Linked DNA regions of Caenorhabditis elegans. The protein of the gene in region 2 interacts with the protein of the main gene of each other region in a pairwise test. Each region holds a gene or a part of one and is shown on either strand. Other genes may lie near its edges. The genes, in order: pdr-1 and rpt-2.

What was found.
Region 1: the proteins of rpt-2 (region 2) and pdr-1 interact in a two-hybrid assay, tested with the Caenorhabditis elegans proteins (one study listed by BioGRID).

What each region holds. Positions count from the first base shown.
Region 1 is NC_003281.10:13,769,684-13,774,161, reverse strand, and holds pdr-1 (E3 ubiquitin-protein ligase parkin), read right to left. Parts: upstream 2,644-4,478; 5' UTR 2,632-2,643; coding exon 2,563-2,631; intron 2,518-2,562; coding exon 2,372-2,517; intron 2,282-2,371; coding exon 1,849-2,281; intron 1,803-1,848; coding exon 1,712-1,802; intron 1,433-1,711; coding exon 1,228-1,432; intron 1,175-1,227; coding exon 1,100-1,174; intron 1,054-1,099; coding exon 912-1,053; 3' UTR 818-911; downstream 1-817. Other genes in the region: mdt-29 (Mediator of RNA polymerase II transcription subunit 29), read right to left, coding at 99-206, 645-692; cyk-4 (Rac GTPase-activating protein 1), read left to right, coding at 2,939-3,044, 3,089-3,200, 3,251-3,743, 3,794-4,165, 4,353-4,478.
Region 2 is NC_003283.11:6,015,354-6,019,690, forward strand, and holds rpt-2 (putative 26S proteasome regulatory subunit 4), read right to left. Parts: upstream 2,317-4,337; 5' UTR 2,316-2,316; coding exon 2,153-2,315; intron 2,107-2,152; coding exon 1,886-2,106; intron 1,841-1,885; coding exon 1,118-1,840; intron 1,072-1,117; coding exon 847-1,071; 3' UTR 696-846; downstream 1-695. Other genes in the region: Transcription factor fos-1, read left to right, coding at 217-338; aps-1 (AP complex subunit sigma), read left to right, coding at 2,622-2,699, 2,748-2,851, 3,106-3,397; picc-1 (PAC-1 interacting and coiled-coil domain-containing protein 1), read left to right, coding at 3,653-3,677. UniProt on the Caenorhabditis elegans protein: The 26S proteasome is involved in the ATP-dependent degradation of ubiquitinated proteins. The regulatory (or ATPase) complex confers ATP dependency and substrate specificity to the 26S complex.

The DNA.
Region 1 (4,478 bases), on a different chromosome or scaffold from region 2:
TTTGCGGAAAAAATCATAAAATATTTTAATTTTACGTTAAAAAATTTATCAGAAAGTGCTATTTCAAATTTTCGATAAATTGGACGGTATATTACTACCTGTTGAGCCTGTTGTTGTATTTGCTGTTGACGTTGCTGCTGCATTTGTTGTTGCTGCATTTGTTGCTGCCGCATCATTTGTTGCTGCTGTTGCTGCTGCATTAACATCTGAAATGTTTTTATTTTATAATCTTTTTATTCCTAGTTTAAAATTTGGTTATATGGTTTTAAAAAAGCTCTGAAAACGTCTTAAAATGAAACTTTAAAGGATATTTGAGTGAGAAATTTTCAAATTTCAGTTAAAAAATGCGGTGAGTTTTGTTTTCATGAAAAAGTTGTTTTTTTAATTTTCATGAAAAAAATAATTTTCAGCCCACTCCAAAACTGAGATATATCCCGAAGCTCAAGAAATGTTTCCATGTTGGTGTGATTGTACATTTTCATTAATTTTTTTTGTTCCCAAAATTAAAAAAAAGACATTTTTTGACTTCAATTGTTTTAAGGATGAAGCCGTAGAAAAGTGTGAAATTTTTCCGAAAAAGGTTGTAAAATGTGCTCAAATTCACTAAAATTTACTCTCAAGTTCAAAAGCACAAAAAATCTTACATGTTGTTGCTGCGGCGTCATACTTGGTGGAGGTCCTTGTCCTGACATGTCTATGGAGATCCCTGCGAGAAATGTGTTCTTTGAAATTTGGCAAAACATTTAAAAAAAGGTATGAAATGAGCGAAATACTCAGCAACAAAAATTGAGAAAAAGATCTAAAATTTGAAGAGAAAAAATGTCAATGTAACTTCAGACACACCGTAATTGTTGTAAAAATCTACAGAATAACACGTACAATCTCTAGAAAAGATGAATTTTAGAGAGTTATTAATTAAACCAATGGTCCCATTGACACTCTTCCTTCCATTCTGTCTTGCACTTGAAACACCAATCCATTCCACACGAGGTACAGTGAATGTGAGCACATCCGCCGTTCCGTTCGGTTGCCACGTGGCATTTTGGGCATCTTCTGGAAGAATTTACAGTTTTTTGTAGTGGATAATCGCTGAGATCACCTTGTAGTCGCGTCAATTGTAGTTCGGGTGAGATCGTCTTCGCTCTGGCACACACAATTTCTTTCGAAGCACTTTCTGAACGATGATATTTATTGCGATAAAATTTCCGATTTAGAAGCTCAAAATACCTGCAAAACGAAAAAAAACAATCTGGACACTGGGATCTTCCATCGTCATCATAGGGCTCCCAGAAGAAGCTCTGCCCACACGAGACATTCGGGCAAGTCACACCCTTGTCGTCCACGGCAATCAATCGCTCGGTGGCTTTCCGTTGGTATTCGCTGTACGACGTCTGACCCATAATGTGGAAATGGTGCACATCTTGTACCACTCCTGAAGTTATTTTTCAATTAAATGTTCTGTTTAATTTCTTTAAAACTTTTTTTTTCAATTTTCTCGGCATTGAAAAACTATTGAAACATGTGAGAAAATTTTCAAAATAAATTTAAATAGAACGGGTGGGGGTTTTTTTTGCAAAAAAAAAACCATGCCAGACTTGCAAAATGGAAACATAACATATTTGTATTTTTTGGAAGATTTTTTGTTTCTATCAATTAGTTTTCAGGATCACTACTGCAGAAAATTGAATGGTTTTGATAAAATCGAACGAACTATTGCACCCTGGATAGGGGCAGAAAATGGTGAAGCCATGCGGCGGCTGATTGACAAAACCGAATCGTTCCAGTTGACTTAGCAAATAATCCTTTAAAATTAAACAATTTCAACAAAAAATTTAGATTCTTACTCACTCTGAAACAGAATTGGCATGTAATATGATTGCATCCGAGGTCGAAGATCACTTTCTCCTTCCCATCACAAACACAGCACTCGGTCATTTGCCAATTTCCGCGTACGTGAGTTAGAGCTGCGGCCGGATCGTTGCAGGCTAGACATTTGAACTTGAATTCAGCGAAAAGACCTGGAGTACAGCATTCTTCGCAGACCGCCGGTATTCTCTTGCTTTTGAGAACGTCGGACCAGTTCTGGGGTTCAGATTTGACTAGAACAGAGGTTGACGAGCATTTTTGGCAATAAACCCGCAGTTTGCCGCGCTTGACGTCGTCACAATTTTTGCACCACACGTAGAAGCTTCCGAGAATTGAAGAATCTGTTGTTATTTTTGCAGTAGTAGCACCGTTTTCGTTGTGACTATTGAACTTTGGACGGAGAAGCATGATTTGTCTGAAATAATATTATTTGAATAACAATTCCAGTTATTTATATAAATAACAATTCCAGTTATTTATATAAGTAAATATTTACTTGACCTACGTTGCAGGTGTCAGTGACAAATCCCTCATAATCGTTGATTTTGATAACTTTTTCCCACAGAAAACCACTTCCAGCTCATCGCTGGGAATTTCGGTGAGCTTTTCCACATCTTTTGTGAGATCTTCGATATTTCCAGTTATATTTATCTGAAAAAAATAATGTATATATTCAAAGTTTGAAATGTCCACTACATTAAGTGTTAGATTCCTACGTTGACCTGTTTTTCTATCTTGTATTAATATAGAGATTTCATCAGACATGCTTCATGAGAGCTGAAAATTTGACTTAGAAATTAACAAAAAAATTTCCTGCTAGCGGGCCTGCTTGCAGTTTTAAACATTAAATTCAAAAAACTAGTCGAGGCCTTGAAGCCCCATGTTTTTGTGCACACTAGTCCTCGCAGTCATGTGCGCCCTATGGCAAGCGTAGCGGGTCGCGTCGCGTGTGAGACAAACGCAGCGAGCTTCAAATTCGAACTGTTTTCCACGAAATTTGAAACGGTTTTCACGCATTTTTCTCTTATTTTCGGGCGAGTTTCTCGTTTTCTAATCATTTCCACATTTTAGAATGAAGTCCAGTACATCAAAAGAGAAGGTGTGCGGCGAAAACTCGCGTCACATTTTCAACATGATTCTAAACTCACAGCGACCGCAATTCGATATTAAGGATATAGGTTAGTTTCAATTATCATTTTCAAATTTTAATGACGTGTTTCAGGAATGTTTCATTTGATTGATGAGATTGAGCGTCTCCGCAAGCTGTGGAAAGATTCCGAGGAATCCAAAAAGCGGCTGAATGCAGATATGAGAGAGGCCGAAGAAGCACTTGCGTAAGTGAAATATTTCATGTTTACGTGTTTAGAAAACACTATTATTTCAGAAAAGCTCGCAAGAAGCTGGCAATGTTCGATATCGATGTCAAAGACACTCAGAAACATTTACGCGCGTTGATGGAAGAAAATAAGGCGTTGAAGCTCGATCTAAACGTCTACGAGACTCGTGAAAAGCAGCTGAAAGATGCGATGAAGAACGGTATATTCAATAGTCTCACCAAGGAAGACCGCGATCAGTTCAAGTTTCTTCACGAGCCACTGGTCCGGACATACTCGAAACGGGTGCAGCAGAGGCATCCACATTTGATGGAGGACACACAGGACGATGAGGACGATAGTGAGGTGGATTACGATGAAACTGGAGACAGTTTCGAGGAAGTTATTCATTTGCGCAATGGAAGAGAGGTCAGAAGAAGCTCAGCTGCTGGAAACGCAGTTGGTGGCAAGCGGAGAAGCGCGTCAGCACATGCGATTACTGCTGCTGCCAATTCGAAGAGGAGCAGAAGCCGTGTTATGACAGCTACTATAGATGAAGAGCCGGTAAAAATTATGACATGACAGTTTTTGTTGAATTGCGTTTGTTCTTTCAGAATGAGGGTGGTACACCTCCAAAAAGATGCCGTGATGATGGTTCTACACCTCATCAAGAAATGACAACTACCACCACTACCACCACCACCACTACTATTCATAACTCTCGAGCTCAGAACCAGGACCCGCCACGTGTCTCACTTCACCGCCAGCTCACCCGCAGGAGCTTGAGCTGTGGAAGTATTCCATCATGCGATCAAACACCAGGACAAACCACAAATAACATCGGCCTCGGCATGTCGTCCGCCATTCTCACCAAAAGCACACTTGATATCCGAACCCTGAAACGTGGCACGCCGGCGTGGACTAATGGAACAACTCGTGACATCGCAATGAGACCACACACGTTTATAGAGGCAGGAATCAAAGCGGTACGTGTAAAAAATGCTAACAAATTTCTTTAAAGTGAGCTCTGTAGTGATGAAAATCATGCTAATCATGAAGAGGCGCGTCCGTCTCGGACCCCATGTTGCAAACATCTATTTCTGAACAAAGAATTCCTATTTTTTCTGTTAAACATGAATTGCCACACTGTTTTAATACCTTTTTGATTTTCAGATGCGAAAATGCGACAAATGTGCTACAGCCCTGAAGCTCGCCACATCAATGAAATGCAGAGACTGTCACCAGGTTGTCCATCGTAGTTGCTGCAACAAACTTCATCTCCCGTGCATACCACGCCCC
Region 2 (4,337 bases):
CGTTAAATATAAAAAATGTTAAAATTGGAACTACAATTGCGAGTACGGTAGCTGGAAAGTTGTTGGCGTGCCAAGACCCAGAAATTTGCATAATTTTAATTCAAATGCCGATATTTCTACAATATACGAAAATTTTCTTAAATTTTTCCAGTTTCATCCCGGGCTAAAAAGTGTTATTTTTATTTCTCAAAATATAATTAACGATTTTCATTCCAGGCCCATTCGACTTGCTTTCCTCCAACACTGGTCTGACACCTTCTGGTCAGCCAACAATGAACTTCGTTTCAACTCCAACCCCGATTCAACCACATCCGGATGCTGATCTCCGACCACTCTAGATTCCGATTCAAATCATTTTCTGTAGCGTGCATTTGTAATTTTCCCCGTCCAGCTCTCATTATTACAAAATTTCATACAATTTCCCGATTTTCTATCCAATTTCCATATCTTTAAATTCAGCCAGTTCTCTCTTTTCTCATTATAGTTTCACTTTTAGCTACTGAAATTCCCCCAACTTTCCGTTTCCAATTATTGTGATAAGAAATACATTCAACTGTAACATCATTTTCTTATTCTTCGAAACCATCAACTTCTTCACTGGTAAATCTTCAAGTCGATTTTCTCCATTTTTTTCTTCTTCAGTTTCATTAAATTCATGAACTTTCCTTACCAACCATCAATCCCAATGTCACATAAACGAATATTTTTCATCATGAATCATTTACCTCAATCAATCCAGATTTAAAATTACATTAAATCGGTTTTTGTGCAACGGGACGTTCAAAAAGGGAATAAAATAAATTGGGAAAGAGAAAATACAAAAAAAATAAATAAAACGGGGCACATTTACAAATAGAGTTCTTCTGGAGCTCCTTCCTTCTTACGGTAGAGCACATTTTCTTTGGACTTCTGGAAATCTTCCATCGTGACACGCATACGACGCTCGCGAAGAGCTAAGAGACCAGCTTCTGTGCACATAGCCTTGATATCAGCTCCACTCAACTCGTCCTTTGCTGTGATGAACTCTTCGAGGTTAACTTCTTTGCCGAGTGTCATTCGAGATGTATGGATCTGAAAATAAAAACTTCATATAATGTTTAGAAAAAATTGTTCCAACCTGGAAGATACGGCGCTTCGTTTTTTCATCTGGCAGGGGGAATTCAATCTTACGATCAATACGACCTGGACGAATGAGAGCAGGGTCGAGAGATTCGATGCGGTTAGTGGCCATCAAAACTTTAACATCTCCACGGGAATCGAATCCATCAAGTTGATTGAGAAGTTCAAGCATAGTCCGCTGAATTTCACGTTCTCCACCAGAGTTCGAATCGTAACGTTTTGTTCCAACAGCATCAATTTCATCAATGAACACAATTGATGGTGCATTCTCCTCAGCAACGCGGAAGAGCTCACGGACCATCTTTGGACCATCTCCGAGGTATTTCTGAATAAGTTCCGAACCAACAATACGAAGGAAAGTAGCTGACGTCTGATTAGCAACAGCCTTGGCAAGTAGCGTTTTTCCAGTACCAGGACAACCGTATAGAATAACTCCCTTTGGAGGCCGGATTCCCATCTCTTCGTAGTATTCAGGATGAGTCAGTGGAAGCTCAACTGCTTCTTTAATTTCTTGAATTTGCTGATCAAGACCACCAACATCGGCATACGTTTCTTGTGGTGCTTTTTCGAGCTTCATGACAGACACCATAGGATCTGTATCATCGGAGAGAACTCCGATGACGGCGTGATTCTTGTGGTTGAGAAGGACTGAACATCCCGGCTCGAGTTGTTCCTTGTCGACGAATGACATGATGTTGACGTAATGCTCACTTCCGACGTTCTAAATATTGAAATAAGAAAATATTATCGATATATTGATTCTTACAGTTGAAACAATGGCGTGCTGATCATCGATAATTTCCTCAAGTGATCCGACTGCCATTGGTGTTCCACGGAGCTCGTCCACCTTGGCGCGCTCTTCTTCTTGTCTCTCCTCTTGTGGCTTCAAACGCTCCTGGTTTTGAATGAATTCTTGCTCCATCAACAAATAATCCTTGATTCTTTCGCTCTTCAGCAACTTCAGACGGCATCTGGCATGTGGTGTGACTAAAACCGAATCATCAGTTAAAATACACACTAGATTGAAACTTACCAGCTGGAAGTTTGCTAGCGGCGTCAGGTCCCTTAGACCCCTTCTTCTTCTTTCCAATCCTAGATGGAATCGGTGCCTCATATTTCTTCTTTTCCTTCTTCTCTCCATCTCCGGCACCGCGGTCATTTCCTCTTCCACCGAAACCTGACTGTTGTTGCCCCATTCTAGAAAATAATGATTTTATATGAAAAATAATAAGTCCACGTTTGAAAAAGAAAACAATTGAAAGATATAAAATAAGTAGAACGAAGAATGATTTAAAAAAATACAGCGTTGATGATGACAATGCAAGCGCGCTCTGGTGAGAACTAAACAACGCGCGGTTTCGTATTTTCGGAGCTTCGTTGTTTTTATTGACGAAGCCACATGTCTGTTTTATTCAGAAAATCTAATTTTTCAATTGATTTTTAAGTATTTTCAGCGTTTTAAAGTTTGCAAACGATTGTTCATACTCTTGTTTTCAGTAAACATGATGCAATACATGCTTCTCTTCAGTCGCCAGGGCAAACTGCGGCTGCAGAAATGGTACACTGCTTACCCCGACAAGGTAAGTGTATTTCCTATTCATATGTGTAATTTCACACTCAATTTTCAGCAAAAGAAGAAAATTTGCCGCGAACTCATCACTCAAATTCTGGCGAGAAAACCGAAAATGTGTGCGTTCCTCGAATACAAGGATTTGAAAGTTGTCTACAAACGGTTCGTATTTTATATTCAAAAGTAACAACTCCCATTTCCTGTCATGCCTTAAAATTGTTCCTTCTGAAAATAACTTACAAGTTTATAATCAAAATTTCTTGAAAATTATAGTTACACACCTAAATCCGAAGTTATTACGTTTTTTATTCATGAAAAATATTTTGGCGTCAAATTTAGTTGTTTAATAGACATTTTTGTGATAAATGAAACAAAAACTTAACAATTCGTTCAATTTTTAATCTCAACAATTTCAGATACGCGTCTCTGTATTTCTGCTGCGCCATCGAACAAAACGACAACGAGCTCATCACTTTGGAAGTCATTCATCGTTACGTAGAACTCCTCGACAAATATTTTGGAAGTGTTTGTGAGCTGGATATCATCTTCAACTTCGAAAAAGCTTACTTCATACTCGACGAATTTTTACTGGCTGGTGAAATCCAGGAAACCAGTAAAAAACAAGTTTTGAAGGCGATTGCTGCCCAAGATCTCATTCAAGAAGAAGAAACTCCACAAGGATTCTTCGAGGATCACGGTTTGGGATAATGAAGATAATAGTAACATAATTTATTGACTTTGAAAGCTTCCGTAAATACCAAATACTTCCACCTTACTTTATTTATCCTGGCTATGTGTCTGGTTGTGATAATATTCATGTGAATAAGAGAAGAAAACATTCATTTTTCAATCTTCCATTATGTATTCTTTCTGTTAGGAAACTTCAATGCATGACTTGCATTATTTCTACACTTTTTTCAATTTTTTCTTTAAAGTTTTGAACTTTCTCAGGTTTCGAAGCGGATGATTATCACAACTCCGAGACGAGGTGAGCTAATGTGAATTTTGCCGAGTTTCCCGCACATGAGTGTAAAACACGAACAGGGGAAAGGTGGATTCAAGGATAATTCAACGGGGGGTAATATGCGAACGTTGGCAGTGTAACATGTCAGTTCGAACGGAATGAATGTAGGAATGATTGGCACCTCTGCCGGAATTGTCATTTGTTAGATTACAAAGCACAATGTTCACCTTCTTGTTGGTGTCGAATTTCAAAATATCATTTATCTGAAATTTCGATAAGTATGATTAAACTAGTCAAAATTGTTTCGATCACTTCCGTTTTCTCAAAGTTTAATCATTTTCGTACAGTAGATGTTTGTGTCCTCTTCATGTTTTCTGCCCAATACTTCTTCCTCTTCCCATCCACTATACTTTGCATTGTTTTTGGTTTTACATTGAACAAGGGCAGTGAAGGCGGAGACAGCGGGAAATGTTTCCGCGCGGATTCACTCATTCTCTCAAGTATCCATCAATTTGCTCCAGCACACACTTGTTCTTTCACCTAGTTTTTGAGTCGTAGTTAATTTTTGATCTAAAATCTTGGCAGAAAGCAGAAGTACGCATCACATTATTTGAATAAGTATTCGCATTTTCAATATTCGCAGTCCATGAGACCCTAGAAATCATAAACAAACCTCGCTATTTT